Linked DNA regions of Stegostoma tigrinum. The protein of the gene in region 2 purifies or fractionates together with the protein of the main gene of each other region. This does not show direct contact. Links are inferred from orthologs where the notes say so. Each region holds a gene or a part of one and is shown on either strand. Other genes may lie near its edges.

What was found.
Region 1: the proteins of anapc15 (region 2) and anapc1 purify together in Homo sapiens (affinity purification with mass spectrometry; 3 studies listed by BioGRID and IntAct, with this or other methods). This does not show direct contact. The link is inferred for Stegostoma tigrinum from reciprocal best matches to the Homo sapiens genes ANAPC15 and ANAPC1.

Annotation. Positions count from the first base shown.
Region 1 is NC_081357.1:20,343,960-20,352,053, forward strand, and holds the start of anapc1 (anaphase-promoting complex subunit 1), read left to right. Parts: upstream 1-5,019; 5' UTR 5,020-5,173; intron 5,174-5,715; 5' UTR 5,716-5,739; coding exon 5,740-5,958; intron 5,959-8,094. UniProt on the Homo sapiens protein: Component of the anaphase promoting complex/cyclosome (APC/C), a cell cycle-regulated E3 ubiquitin ligase that controls progression through mitosis and the G1 phase of the cell cycle.
Region 2 is NC_081359.1:110,845,330-110,852,546, reverse strand, and holds the start of anapc15 (anaphase-promoting complex subunit 15), read left to right. Parts: upstream 1-4,166; 5' UTR 4,167-4,282; intron 4,283-4,288; exon of another isoform or gene 4,289-4,591; intron 4,592-4,642; exon of another isoform or gene 4,643-4,789; intron 4,790-7,217. UniProt on the Homo sapiens protein: Component of the anaphase promoting complex/cyclosome (APC/C), a cell cycle-regulated E3 ubiquitin ligase that controls progression through mitosis and the G1 phase of the cell cycle.

The sequences.
Region 1 (8,094 bases), on a different chromosome or scaffold from region 2:
AGACTGGGTTCTGTGGCAGGTGGTGAGGGAACCAACAAGGGGGAAAGCATAACTGATCTCATCCTTCCCAATCTGCCAGCTGCAGATGTATCTGTCCATGACAGTATCAGTAGGATTGACCACTGCCCAGTCCTTGTAGAGGTGAAGACCTGCCTTCACATTGAGAATACCTCCATCATGTTGTGTGGCACTATCACCGTATTAAATGGAACATATTTCAAACAGATCTAGCAACTCATGACTGGCCATCCACGATTGTGTGCCATCAACAACACCAGAATGGTACTCCAGCACAGTCTGCAACCCCATGGTCCAGCATATCCCCCATTGTCAAACCAGGGGACCAAACCTGCTTCAATGAGAGCACAGGAGAACATGCCAGGAGCAGCACCAGGCATACCTAAGCCTGAGGTGTCAAGCTAGACACTGATAAACAATTGCACAACCAATGGATCAGATCTAAGCTCTGCAGTCCTGCCACATCCTTTACAATTAACAGGAGGGGGAGGCTCCACGAATATCTCCATCCTCAATGATGGGGGATCTTCACACATCAGCATGAAAGCAAAAGCTGAAATGTTTGTTATTCTGCTTCAGCCAGCAGTGCCAAGTAGATGATCCATTTCAGCCTCTCCTTGAGGTCTCCAGCATCACAAATTGCAGGCTTTAGCCAATTTGCTTAACTCTACATGATCAAAAGAGCGCTGACAATATTACAGCAACACTGCTGAAGTCTGTAACACCAGAACTAGACGGTCTCTGAGCCAAGCTGTTCCAGTACGGCTGCAACACTGGCATCTACCTCGAAATGTGGAATATTGCCCAGCTATGTCCTGCATACAAAATAAAAGAGCAAAACCCAACCCATGCAATTACTGCTCCATCTGTCGACTTGCAATCATTAACAAAATGATGGAGGGTGTCATCCACAGTGCTATCGAGTAGCACTTGCTTAGCAGTAACCTGCTTAGTGATGCTCAGTTTGTGTTACCAATGACCACTCAGCTCCTGACCTGTTTTCAGTCTGAGTTCAAACATGGACCAAAGAGCCGAATTCCAGAGGTGAGGTGAGAGTGACTGCCCTTGATGTTAAGGCTGCATTTAACTGGGGACGGCATCTAAGAATCAGAGTCCTAGGAAAACAGGAATCAATGGAAATAGGGGGAAAACTCTCAGATGGTTGGAGTCATACCTGGAACATAAGAAGATAGCTGTAGTTGTTGGAGGGCAGTTATCTCAGCTCCAGGACATCTCAGCAGGAGTTCCTCAGGGTAGTGTCCATGGCCCAACCATCCACAGCTGCTTCACCAATGGTCTTCCCTCCTTCGTAAGGTCAGAAGTGGGGATGTTTGCCGATGAGTGCACAATGTTCAGCACCATTCACAACTCCTCAGATACTGCAGCAGTCCATGTTCAAATACAGCAAGACCTGGACAGTAGACAGGCTTGGGCTGTTGAGTGGAAAGAAACATTTGGCCCAGACAAGTACCAGGCAATATCCAATCCCAATAAGAGAGAATCCAATCATCTCCCCTTTGACCTTCAATGACATTACCATCACCATCGATATCCCGGGAGCCACCACTGACCAGAAACTGAACTGAACTCACCCTATAGATACTGTGGCCATAAGATCAGGTCAGGGGTTTGGGATTCTGTGGTGGGTGTCTCACTGCTCTGTCTCTTTGGAGATCATAAGGCATTGTACAATAAAAGACAGAAGAAGTGGTAGTGGTTATAACGTAGATAAGACATAGATTCAGTAGGGTTCTTGTTTGTACTCAGTAAGTTGCTGATTTTAGGTGGTTCAAATCACCCCCAGGTCATTAGGTTCTGACACTGGTCTTACTTAGGGAATGTGGAAGGAAGGAGGCATTAGACAGGTGTTTCAGGTCAAAAGAATCTCTGTGTTTATTTAAATATAAAAAAGGTAATTATGCTACAAGAAATATAGGTAAAAGCACTGAACAGTGAAATTAACACTCCCAAGTATACAGAGGACACTAATTAAATACACTATCAAATTAAACACAGACTAAACATTGTTAGAACCTAAACAGCAGTTTTAATCACAGAAATTTTAATCAGGCTTCCTACCCTTGGAGTCCCACACACTGCCACCACCTGCCTTCCCCTCCCTGCTAGCTAGATTGGAAACTTTGGGGTCTCTGGAGTTTAAGTTTGCCACGAAGGAAAATGCAGTTTTGAAGTACAGCTGGCTGTGGAGGTTCTTATTGTCAGTTCCCTTGGTTCAGAACAGGCTCATGTCCGGACGTTCTGCGTTGTCAAAACCATCAGATTTGCATAGAATTGGTTTTTGGTATCTAAGTGCCTGGTTCACATTGATTGGCTAAATTCAAAACTTGTCTTGGTAAAAGGTGCTGCCTGGCCTGCTAACTGTACGGCCTTATGATACAAATGTTTCAATTCGGGTGCTTTCTGTGTATGCGCAAACTTTCAAGCCGCTGCTCACAGGTATCCATTTTAAATCTCTCAGTGCAGCAAAAGCACATAATCTTTTAAAGGGACCACACAATGCTTCCTGTGCCCCCTCCAGCATTTTACAAACACCAAATTCTAACTTCCTACCTCCCAATCTACAAGTGCTCTACCCAACTTCGCAACACTAAGGAACTACTACGTATGCATAATTTCTTCAGTATAAATTAGACCCACAGAGTCTGCGGCAGCTTCAGTTTGCCCAGAATACTGACAGAGCTGAAATAGTGTATAAGGAGAATGCGGGATCTGTTTGACTCATTCAAGTGGGAGCCCATTGCTCTAGCAGAAGATTTGACCTTAGTTGAAGTTTGGAACTGATGTATGTGAGTTACATGGCTAAGCCCTTCTCATGGCTAGAACAAAGAACAAAGAAAATTACAGCACAGGAATAGGCCATTCGGCCCTCCAAACCTGCACCGATCCACATCCTCTATCTAAACCTGTCACCTATTTTCCAAGATAGTAGGAATCGCAGATGCTGGAGAATCTGAGATAACAAGGTGCAGAGCTGGATGAACACAGCAGGCCAAGCAGCATCAGAGGAGCAGGAGGATCTGATGCTACTTGGCCTGCTGTGTTCATCCAGCTCTACACCTTGTTATCTTACCTATTTTCCAAGGATCTGTATCCCTCTGCTCCCTGCCCATTCATGTATCTGTCTAGATACATCTTAAATGAAGCTATCATGCCCGCCTCTACCACCTCCGCTGGCAATGTATTCCAGGCACCCAACACCCTCTGCGTAAAGAACTTGCCACACATATCTCCCTTAAACTTTTCCTCTCACACCTTGAAATCGTGACCCTCCAGTAATTGAGTCCCCCACTCTGGGAAAAATCTTCTTGCTATCCACCCTGTATGTACCTCTCCTGATTTTGTAGACCTCACTCAGGTCCCCCCTCAAACTCTGTCTTGCATGTAAATAATCCGAATCTACTCAACCTCTCTTCATAGCTAGTGCCCTCCATAGCAGGCAACATCCTGGTGAACCTCCTCTGCACCGTCTCCAAAGCATCCACATCCTTTTGGTAATGTGGCGACCAGAACTGTACGCAATATTCCAAATGTGGTCAAACCAAAGTCCTACACAACTGTAACATGACCTGTCAATTCTTGTACTCAATACCCTGTCCGATGAATGAAAGCATGCCGTCTGCCTTCTTGACCACTCTATTCACCTGTTTCGCCACCTTCAAGGTACAATGGCCCTGGACACCCAGATCTCTCTGTTCATCAATTTTCCCCAGGGCTTTTCCATTTACTGTGTAGTTCGCTCAAACTATGGCAACTATTAGACTAAGACAACACTTTCTTGATTGGGCATGGTATCATTTCAATTGCTCCATGCAGCATCCTATGAAAAATCAAACTAATTCTTGTTGTAGCCTATTAGATTTAGATTTAGCCTATCAGACATCACAAAATCAGATAATAGTCTACAGTTCACTCCAGAAGAATGGATGAAGTGTGGGCATATTAGGCTTTCTAGCTGTGATACATTTGACACAAAAGAGAGATTGAAGGGAAAAGTCCTGCGGAGACAAAGGACTGTGCTTTAAAGACAAGAAAATGTGAGGCTGGTTGAACACAGCAGGCCAAGCAGCATCTCAGGAGCACAAAAGCTGACGTTTCGGGCCTAGACCCTTCATCAGAGAGGGGGATGGGGAGAGGGAACTGGAATAAATAGGGAGAGAGGGGGAGGCGGACCAAAGATGGAGAGTAAAGAAGATAGGTGGAGAGAGTATAGGTGGGGAGGTAGGGAGGGGATAGGTCAGTCCAGGGAAGACGGACAGGTCAAGGAGGTGGGATGAGGTTAGTAGGTAGATGGGGGTGTGGCTTGGGGTGGGAGGAAGGGATGGGTGAGAGGAAGAACCGGTTAGGGAGGCAGAGACAGGTTGGACTGGTATTGGGATGCAGTGGGTGGGGGGGAAGAGCTGGGCTGGTTGTGTGGTGCAGTGGGGGGAGGGGACGAACTGGGCTGGTTGAGGGATGCAGTAGGGGAAGGGGAGATTTTGAAACTGGTGAAGTCCACATTGATACCATTAGGCTGCAGGGTTCCCAGGCAGAATATGAGTTGCTGTTCCTGCAACCTTCGGGTGGCATCATTGTGGCAGTGCAGGAGGCCCATGATGGACATGTCATCTAAAGAATGGGAGGGGGAGTGGAAATGGTTTGCGACTGGGAGGTGCAGTTGTTTGTTGCGAACTGAGCGGAGGTGTTCTGCAAAGCGGTCTCCAAGCCTCCGCTTGGTTTCCCCAATGCAGAGAAGCCACACCGGGTACAGTGGATGCAGTATACCACATTGGCAGATGTGCAGGTGAACCTCTGCTTGATGTGGATTCCACATCTGCAGTTCCCATTATCACTGTGCTTTAAAGATTGCTTTAGGCCAGATGTACCAACCTCTCAGAGAAACTGGAGATGGAGCAGGTACATTTCGCCAGGCCCCCGGGAGATGGCGCTCTGTCACCAGGCTCGAATGCGCTGGCGCGTATTCAGCGCAGTGACTGATGGGAGTTCAAGATGGCGACGCCCATCTGATTCTTCAAATCGGAGTTTAAGTGAATTTTGCTTTTGGCGCGGATTCGGAGCAAAAACCAAATCCCCGGATTTTGGAGGCGGATGGTCGCAGAGAAACCGTCATTAGAAGTTTCACTCGTTATTTTAACAGGTCGGTTCGGTCGTCTTTTATTAATAATAATGACCTGAAATATTCTCATCATTCCCCGATTTCCTTCTTTACCCCAGTGACCCCCTTCACCCGGTTGTACCCCCCCGCCCCACACCCTCCCACGCCCCACCCTACGCCAAATATCCCACCCCACCCCACCCCAACCCAATGTCTCTTCCTCCATTGCTCCCACCTCACCTGACTCCCCCTTTGCCCCACACTCTCCCCATCTCCTGCTCCACTCCCATATCTCCTCCACAACCTGAAATCTCTCACTTCTCGTTATCTCCTTTGGCTCCCCTTCTTCTGCATCAAGAGTTGAGTTATTTTGTTCTGAAGAAGTGTCAATGGACTCAATGTTAGTTCTGTTTCTCTGCTCACAGATCTTGCCAGACTTGCTGAGTTTCTCCTGCACTTAGTGTTTGTTTCAGATCTCCAGCGACTTCAGTTCTTTGATTTATTTTATTTGAGTTACATTGCTGTCTGCACAGCACTTGCTTTGAATTTTAGTTTTTCTTAAGTCGTTGCTTTTCTTCAAGCAGAAATAATGCTGATATCTGGAACCCATGTCGAACGTCTGTGAAGAGAGGGTAACAATGATTGCAGCAGGGGAAATGCAGGAGTTTGTTCCGTTCGGCCGTGACCACTGCAGGCGCCACCCTAATGCCACAAATCTTCAGCTTCGGCAGCTGCAGCCTGCTTCAGAACTGTGGTCCTCTGATGGTGACGCAGGATTGGTGGGATCACTGAGAGAAGTTACAATCCATGAGAAACAGAAGGTGCAGGTTTGAAACTCTCATCTGAAATTATCAGTAACCTCTAAAATGAAGAGCTGACATGTTCTGCAGTAGGTTGCCAAAGACTTTATAATAAAGATTTTGAATTTTCCAAGTTACAGTTGAACTTGTACACATGGATTTTGGGGAATCATCAAAAGGATATTGGGTGGGAAAATGACTAGTAATAGAAATAAATTCTACTTATATTGCCTCTTTCACAACTTCAGTCCCCTGCATCATTGTACACCCAATGTCATCTTGCTCTATAGGAATTATTGCATCCAGTGTACAAACAAGATTTCATAAACATGGTCAGGTAATCGTAGAAGTTCGTAGAATCCCTACAGTGTTGAAACAGGCCCTTCGGCCCAACAAGTCCACACCGACCCTCGGGTCACCCGTCCAAATCCATCCCTCTATAACCCACCTAATCTGCACATCCCTGAACACTATGGGCATTTAGCATAGCCAATCCATCTAGCCTGCAAATCTTTGGACTGTGGGAGGAAACCGGAGCACCCGGAGGAAACCCACGCAGACACTGGGAGAATGTGCAAACTCCACACAGACGGTTACCCGAGGCTGGAATTGAACCCGGGTCCCTGGTGCTGTGAGGCAGCACTGCTAACCACCGTGTCACCCTTAAGAATGGCTGGTTTAGCAACATTGGCTGAGGGATAAATGTTGGCCAGGAAATTCGTGAGAACTGTCCTGCTCCTCTCAGAAGAGTCACAGGGTCTTTTGTGTGCGCACCTGAGAGAGTGCTTTGGCTTAACAGCTCATCGGACCACTCAGACCCTGGATTCCAGCATTTCCTCAGTGCTGTGCTGAAGTGCCATCAACAATTTGTGCACACCTTGCTGGAGTGGACTTGAATTCTCAACCTTCTGACTCAGAATGTGCCAGTACTATTCCACGGCTGAAGTGCATCTGAGGCTTCAGTGCCCCAAGAATAATAGATAATAACACAAAAATAGGTGGAAAGGCAAGTTTCAGGAGACACTCAGACATTTTACAAAAAGATAGTTATACATGAAGTGGACAAGGAAATTGTAATACTTGTGCACACAATGCACAAAGCTAGCACCAGGTGCAGCGGGGTAATCAGGAAGGGAAATGGAATGTTGGCCCTTATTTCAAAAGGATTGGGATATGAGAGTAGGGAAGTCTTTTTTGCAGCTGAACAAGGTGCTGATGAGACCCCAACTGGAGTACTGAGAGCAGTTTTGGTTCCCTTATTTAAGAGATACCATTTCATTGGAGGAATTTGCGAAGGTTCACAGGGATGACCCCCAGCACAGAGGAATTGTCTTATTAGCAAAGATCAAACAGGTTGGGACTCTACTCACTGGAGTTTAGAAAAATGAGAGAAGATCACGTTGAAATCAATATGAATTTTTCAGCGCTTGGCAGGGTAAATGCTGAGAGGGTGTTTCCTCTCATTGGAGAGCCTCAGACCAGTAGGCATAGTCGACTTAAGACTGAGCTGAGGAGGAATTTCTTCTCTGAGAGGGTTGAGTGTCTTTGGAGTGCCACAGAGAGCTGTGAGGGCAGAGTCTTTGTGCATATTTAAGGCTGAGATAGGTTGTTAATTAGTTGGGCAATCCAGGGTTACAGGAAAATGGAAGTGAGGCATGTTGAATCAGCCACAATTCTGTTGAATGGCATAGCAGATTTGAGGGGCTGAATGGCCTACTTCTGAGGGGAGAATATAAAAGAAGTTCAGAATTTTGAAAACATATCCAAGAGTTGACCACATTTTGCCCTGATACATTTAACCTCGGGTGGGTGACTGTCTGTCTGGAGTTTGCACGTTCTCCCTGTGTCTGTTTGGGTTCCTTTGGGTGCTCCAGTTTTGCCCCACAGTCCAAAGATGTGCTGGTTTAAGTGGATTTGCCATGCTAAACTGCCCTGTACTGCCCAGGGGTGCGTAGCCGAAGTGGATTAGCCATGGGAAATGCAGGGTTAGGGTGGAGGGTGGGTTGTGGTAGGATGCTCTTTGGAGGGTTGCTGTGAGCTTGATGGGCTGAGTGGCCTTCATCCATGCTGTATGGATTCCATGATTCTTCTTGCTGCTGCACAGTGCAAGTGGCAACAGGCCAAATGTCTCACCTTGGCCCCCTTCGTATTTTACATCTACAT
Region 2 (7,217 bases):
AGCACTGACCCTCCAACAGTGCCCACTCACTCAGCATTGACCCTCCGACAGTGCCCACTCACTCAGCACTGACCCTCCGACAGTGCGGTGCTCCCTCAGCACTGACCCTCCGACAGTGCGGCGCTCCCTCAGCACAGACCCTCTGACTGTTCCCACTCCCTCAGCACTGACCCTCCGACAGTGCGGCACCCCCTCAGCACTGACCCTCTGACTGTTCCCACTCCCTCAGCACTGACCCTCTGACTGTTCCCACTCCCTCAGCACTGACCCTCCAACAGTGCGACACTCCCTCAGCACCGACCCTCTGACAGTGCAGCGCTCCCTAAGTACTGACCCTCCGACAGTGCGACACTCCCTCAGCACTGACCCTCCAACTGTGCCCACTCACTCAGCATTGACCCTCCGACAGTGCCCACTCACTCAGCACTGACCCTCCGACATTGCCCACACCCTCAGCACTGACCCTCCGACAATGCGGTGCTCCCTCAGCACTGACCCTCCAACAGTGCGACACTCCCTCAGCACTGACCGTCCAACAGTGCGACACTCCCTCAGCACCGACCATCTGACAGTGCAGCGCTCCCTAAGTACTGACCCTCCAACAGTGCGACACTCCCTCAGCACTGACCCTTCAACAGTGCCCACTCCCTCAGCACTGACCCTCCGACAGTGCCCACTCACTCAGCACTGACCCTCCGACAGTGTGGCGCTCCCTCAGCACTGACCCTCCGACATTGCCCACTCCCTCAGCACTGACATTCCGACAATGCGGTGCTCCCTCAGCATTGACCCTCCGACAGTGCGGTCCTCCCTCAGCACTGACCCTCCGACAGTGTGGCGCTCCCTCAGCACTGACCCTCCGACAGTGCGGCGCTCCCTCAGCACTGACCCTCTGACAGTGCCCACTCCCTCAGCACTGACCCTCCGACAGTGCGACACTCCCTCAGCACTGACCCTCCAACAGTGCGACACTCCCTCAGCACCGACCCTCTGACAGTGCCCACTCACTCAGCATTGACCCTCCGACAGTGCCCACTCACTCAGCACTGACCCTCCGACAGTGCGGCGCTCCCTCAGCACTGACCCTCCGACAGTGCCCACTCCCTCAGCACTGACCCTTCGACAGTGCAGCGCTCCCTCAGTACTGACCCTCCGACAGTGCGGCGCTCCCTCAGCACTGACCCTCCGACAGTGCCCACTCACTCAGCACTGACCCTCCGACAGTGCGGCGCTCCCTCAGCACTGACCCTCTGACAGTGCCCACTTCCTCAGCACTGACCCTCCGACAGTGCAGCGCTCCCTCAGTACTGACCCTCCGACAGTGCAGCGCTCCCTCAGCACTGACCCTCCAACAGTGCCTACTCCCTCAGCACTGACCCTCCGACAGTGCCCGCTCCCTCAGCACTGACCCTCCAACAGTGCGGCACTCCCTCAGCACTGACCCTCCGACAGTGCGGTGCTCCCTCAGGTCTGACCCTCCGACAGTGCGGCGCTCCCTCAGCACTGACCCTCCGACAGTGCGGTGCTCCCTCAGCACTGACCCTCCAACAGTGCGGTGCTCCCTCTGCATTGACCCTCTTACAGTGCAGTGCTTCCTCAACATTGCTTTGGATTATCAGTCTGGATTTTACGCTCGTGTCAGTGCATGGGTGACTGTTCTTATGATGTCAGTTTGGGAGTGTTCCATACTGATCCAGTTGACAGCTGCATCACAGGATGATGAATGGGCAGATCGTTCACTATAACGCAGACGTGATTGCTCCTCGAAAACCTCACCTGAGATTACTGTGTCCCACTGGATGGAGAGTAGGGTGGACATGAGGCACTAGCTGCTTATTTCTGCTTTATCAAGAAGCATTCATGATCCAGATGGTCCCTGCTGAAGCACTGTAACTAATCAACAGAAGTTATCAAAATTAAAAATGACGTATCACAGCCCCGTGATGCCCACTGGTCCCTAAAGTCTTTTATTGTGTCAGGAGACACTCCAGGTTCTCTCTCTCGGAACACTCCGATGCAGATGTAAACACAGAAGAGGGGCAGATACTCAAGTGCTCACTGCCTGGTCTTGCCCATCTCGTCCTTAGCTGGGCCCATGAGGAGGTCCTCCAATCTGCACCACCATTCCGCCACCTCACCCAACAAACTCTCTGTACGGCCTGCCCATATGACAGTGATTGAGCGCATACAAAAATTTAAATCAGCTCCTTAACAAAACTAAACAGGCACTGGAAATGAAAACATTCAACGTAAATGAAAGCAATTGTTTCTTCAAGGCAACAAAAGTTTCTGGCTTCTCAGGTGCTTGCGAGTTTCTTTTTGCTTGGTTTGTTTCCTAACGAAGTTTTACAACACTCTGGTGAGTAAAGGGCATGACCAGAGACCATCACAAAATCATGATTTGAAATTCCACGAGTAAGAAGCTTATTGATTAATGAACATGTCTTTTCTGGGCAAGAACAGATCATGGGGAATGAAGGGGAGGGAGTGCTTCGGGGTGGGGGTAGGCTTAAGGACGAAGGGTGATTTAGAAGTGGGGGGTAAGGAGTCGAGGGAGTGAGGAAGAGAAATGAGTTGAATGAGTCGAGTGAGGAGTGGAGAGAGTGAGCAGGATTGAAGAGGAGAATAAGGGGTGGACTAGGTGAAGAAGAGTGAAAGAGGGAGTGAGGAGGAGTGGAAGGAATGAGGAAGAGTAAAGAGAGAAATGAGGAAAGGAGGAAGTGAGGAGTGAATAGGAGGAGGCATGAAGAGATGGAGTGAGGAGGAATGGAAGGAGTGAGGAGTGGAGGGAGTGAGGAGTGAAAAGGAGGGCAATGGAGTGAAGAGGAGTGGAGGGAGTGAAGGAGTGAGGAGTGAAAAGGAGTGAGATGGAGTGAAGAGAGGGCATGAAGAGGAGTGGAGGGACTGAGGATGAGTGAAAGATGGAGTGGAGGAGTGGAAGGAGTGAGGAGTGAAAAGGAGTGAGATGGAGTGAAGCAAGGGAATGAGGAGGAGTGGAGGGAGTGAGGAGTGGAGGAAATGAGGAAGAATGAAAGATGGAGTGAGGAGGAGTGGAAGGAGTGAGATGGAGTGAAGCGAAGGAATGAGGAGGAGTGGAGGGAGTCAGGAAGAATGAAAGATGGAATGAAGAGGAGTGAGGAGTGAAAAGGAGTGCGATGGAGTGAAGTGAGGGAATGAGGAGTGGAGGGAGTGAGGAGGAGTGAAAGATGGAGTGAAGCGAGGGAGTGATGAGGAGTGAAGCGAGGGAATGAAGAGGAGGAGTGAAAGATGGAGTGAAGCGAGGGAACGAGGAGGAGGAGGAGTGAAAGGTGGAGTGAAGCGAGGGAATGAGGAGGAGCGAAAGATGGAGTGAAGCGAGGGAGTGAGGAGGAGTGAGGTGCGAAAGATGGAGTGAAGCGAGGGAGTGAGGAAGAGTGAGGAGCGAAAGATGGAGTGAAGCGAGGGAGTGAGGAGGAGGAGGAGTGAAAGATGGAGTGAAGCGAGGGAGTGAGGAGGAGTGAGGTGCGAAAGATGGAGTGAAGCGAGGGAGTGAGGAGGAGGAGGAGTGAAAGATGGAGTGAAGCGAGGGAGTGAGGAGGAGGAGGAGTGAAAGGTGGAGTGAAGCGAGGGAGTGAGGAGGAGGAGGAGCGAAAGATGGAGTGAAGCGAGGGAGTGAGGAGGAGGAGGAGTGAAAGATGGAGTGAAGCGAGGGAGTGAGGAGGAGTGAGGTGCGAAAGATGGAGTGAAGCGAGGGAGTGAGGAGGAGGAGGAGTGAAAGATGGAGTGAAGCGAGGGAGTGAGGAGGAGGAGGAGTGAAAGGTGGAGTGAAGCGAGGGAGTGAGGAGGAGTGAGGTGCGAAAGATGGAGTGAAGCGAGGGAGTGAGGAGGAGTGAGGTGCGAAAGATGGAGTGAAGCGAGGGAGTGAGGAGGAGGAGGAGTGAAAGATGGAGTGAAGCGAGGGAGTGAGGAGGAGGAGTGGAGGGATAATGAAGAAAGAACGAGGAGAGAATGGAAAAGGTGGCCTAGGATAGAGGGGGTGTTAGTGGAGAGTTGTTGAGGATTGGGATGAGGGGGCTGAGGTATACCATTTGTTGGGGGGAGGGCAGGGAAGTGGAGGTGGGGAACATATTTATCCCTGCTGCAAACTCTTGGTTCCGCAAAGAGCTTACACCCACCCGGACCCGGGAAACGCTGCACACAACCATCGGAACCGGAAGTGAGCTTTTCGCCGCCGCGCTGTGTCACCGCGCCAGCCTGCGGGGGAGGGCGTTCGGCGGCGGAACCGCTTCCGGCGGTCACAAAGGTAGGCGGCAGTGAAAGCCGGTGGCGGACACCGGGGCCTGGGTCGGGCCTTACCGGCCCCAGACGAGCGGGACGGGGAGATCGGCCGGACCCGGTTGGCCCAGCTAGACCCGCCCTCTCCGGGACTAGCCCCGCCCCCTCCAGGACCAGCCCCACCCTTATACCCAGACCCCGCCTCCTCCCACTGCAGCCCCCGCCTCCGCTGCCTCTCCCTGCTAGCCCGAGCCTGATGGGCTGAAGGGTCTCCTTCCTGTACTGTATGCCCTTTAGATTTAGGTAGGGTTGCTGTTCCTCACCACTGTTGCTGTAGGTAAGTGCCCAAGAAGCCATTCAGCCCCTCTGAATCCTTCAGGACCACAGCAATGTGTTGGATCTGTGACTGATCTCCTGTGTCTCATTTCCCTGAAGTTATTTACTTGAGTAAAAAGCATCAGAGTCACATTTTGATCTGTAACAATTCCATTTGGTGGACGGAATTGCTTTTGGCTTTAATCTATTTTTTGAAGAAGTGAGTTTTCCCTTAAATTCTCAAGCTATAGCTATATTTTCAGTGGTGAGTGGGGTTCCACAGGGCCCTGTCCTTGGGCCTCTACTGCTTGTAATTTTTATTAATGACTTGGATGAGGGGATTGAAGGATGGGTCAGCAAGTTTGCAGACGACACAAAGGTCGGAGGTGTCATTGACAGTGTAGAGGGCCGTTGTAGGCTGCAGCGGGACATTGACAGGATGCAGAGACGGGCTGAGAGGTGGCAGATGGAGTTCAACCTGGATAAATGCGAGGTGATGCATTTTGGAAGGTCGAATTTGAAAGCTGAGTACAGGATTAAGGATAGGATTCTTGGAAGTGTGGAGGAACAGAGGGATCTTGGTGTGCAGATACATAGATCCCTTAAAATGGCCACCCAAGTGGACAGGGTTGTTAAGAAAGCATATGGTGTTTTGGCTTTCATTAACAGGGGGATTGAGTTTAAGAGTCGTGAGATCTTGTTGCAGCTCTATAAAACTTTGCTTAGACCGCACTTGGAATACTGCGTCCAGTTCTGGGCGCCCTATTATAGGAAAGATGTGGATGCTTTGGAGAGGGTTCAGAGGAGGTTTACCAGGATGCTGCCTGGACTGGAGGGCTTATCTTATGAAGAGAGGTTGACTGAGCTCGGTCTCTTTTCATTGGAGAAAAGGAGGAGGAGAGGGGACCTAATTGAGGTATACAAGATAATGAGAGGCATAGATAGAGTTGATAGCCAGAGACTATTTCCCAGGGCAGAAATGGCTAGCACGAGGGGTCATAGTTTTAAGCTGGTTGGAGGAAAGTATAGAGGGGATGTCAGAGGCGGGTTCTTTACGCAGAGAGTTGTGAGAGCATGGAATGCGTTGCCAGCAGCAGTTGTGGAAGCAAGGTCATTGGGGACATTTAAGAGACTGCTGGACATGTATATGGTCACAGAAATTTGAGGGTGCATACATGAGGATCAATGGTCGGCACAACATTGTGGGCTGAAGGGCCTGTTCTGTGCTGTACTGTTCTATGTTCTTTTCTATGTTCTATAGGGGCAGAACTAGGCCATTTGGTCCATCTAACTCTGTTCTGCTGTTTGATCATGGCTGATAATCCTCACCCCTATTTTCTTGCCTTCTCCCCACAATCCTTCAGCCCATTACCAATTAAAAATCTGTGTAACTCCTCCATATATTCACTCACTGTCCCAGCATCCACCTTACTTTGGAGTAGCCAATTCCACAGATTCACAACCCTTTGGGAGAAGCAGTTTCTCCTCAACTTTGTTTTAGATTTGCTACCCCTCATCTTAGAATGCCCCCACAAAAGGAAGAATCTGCTTCACATCTATTTTATCCACACCTTGTATCATCTCGAATACCTCAATTTGATCTCCCCTCATTCTTCTAAATTCTGGAATGTATAGGCCTAAACTCTTCATAAACTCTCGCTTCATATCCCTAAATCCCTCAGCTCTAGGATCAATCCAGTGAACCTCTTCTGAACTGCCTCCAATGCTATTACATCTTTCCTCAAATAAGGGACCAAAACTGTGCACAATACACAGGTGTGGTCTCACCAATGCCTTGCATAGTGTGTTTTGAGAAGATTTGTAGCTCAGGTTGAGGTTCTGGATGTGAGTTTGCTCGCTGAGCTGAAAGGTTCGTTTTCAGACGTTTCGTCACCATTCTAGGTAACATCAGATATTACCTAGAATGGTGACGAAACGTCTGAAAACTAACCTTCCAGCTCAGCGAGCAAACTCACATCCAGAGCCTTGCATAGTCGTAATGATGCTTCTTTACCTTTGTATTCCATTCCATTACCTATAAAAGCCAACATTCCACTTGTTATCTTTATTATCTGCTGTGCCTGCATGCTAGCTTTTTGTGACTCATGAAATGTGTCATTTTTACAACATATCTGTGAAAACTTGGCAACTGCTTCGCAGAACATCTCGCAAAAACATGCTCGCAAAAAAGACTTTGAACTACCTGTTGCCTGCCACTTCAATACACCACCTTGCTCCCTGGCCAACATCTCTGTCTCTGGCTTGCTGCCGTGTTCCAGTGAAATCCAACGGAAGCTGGAAGAACAACACCTAAATTTCCGCTTGGGGACCCTATGGCCCTCCGGACTCAATATTGAGTTCAATAATTTTAAGGCCTAGACTCTCCCATGTCCCAGCGCCCCCCCACCCCACACACCAGGCCTTGTTACCACATAGCCTGCCATTTACACACCCCCTGTTGTTAGTCACTAAAAGTCCCCATTAACAGCTATTCACCCTCTTGTCTAGGGCTTTTTTCATTTGAGCGAAGAAAGATGAGAGGTGACTCGATAGAGCTGATGATGAGAGACAAAACAATGAGAGGCATAGATAGAGTGTATAGTTAGAGACTTTTTCCCAGGGCGGAAATGACTATTACGAGGGGACAT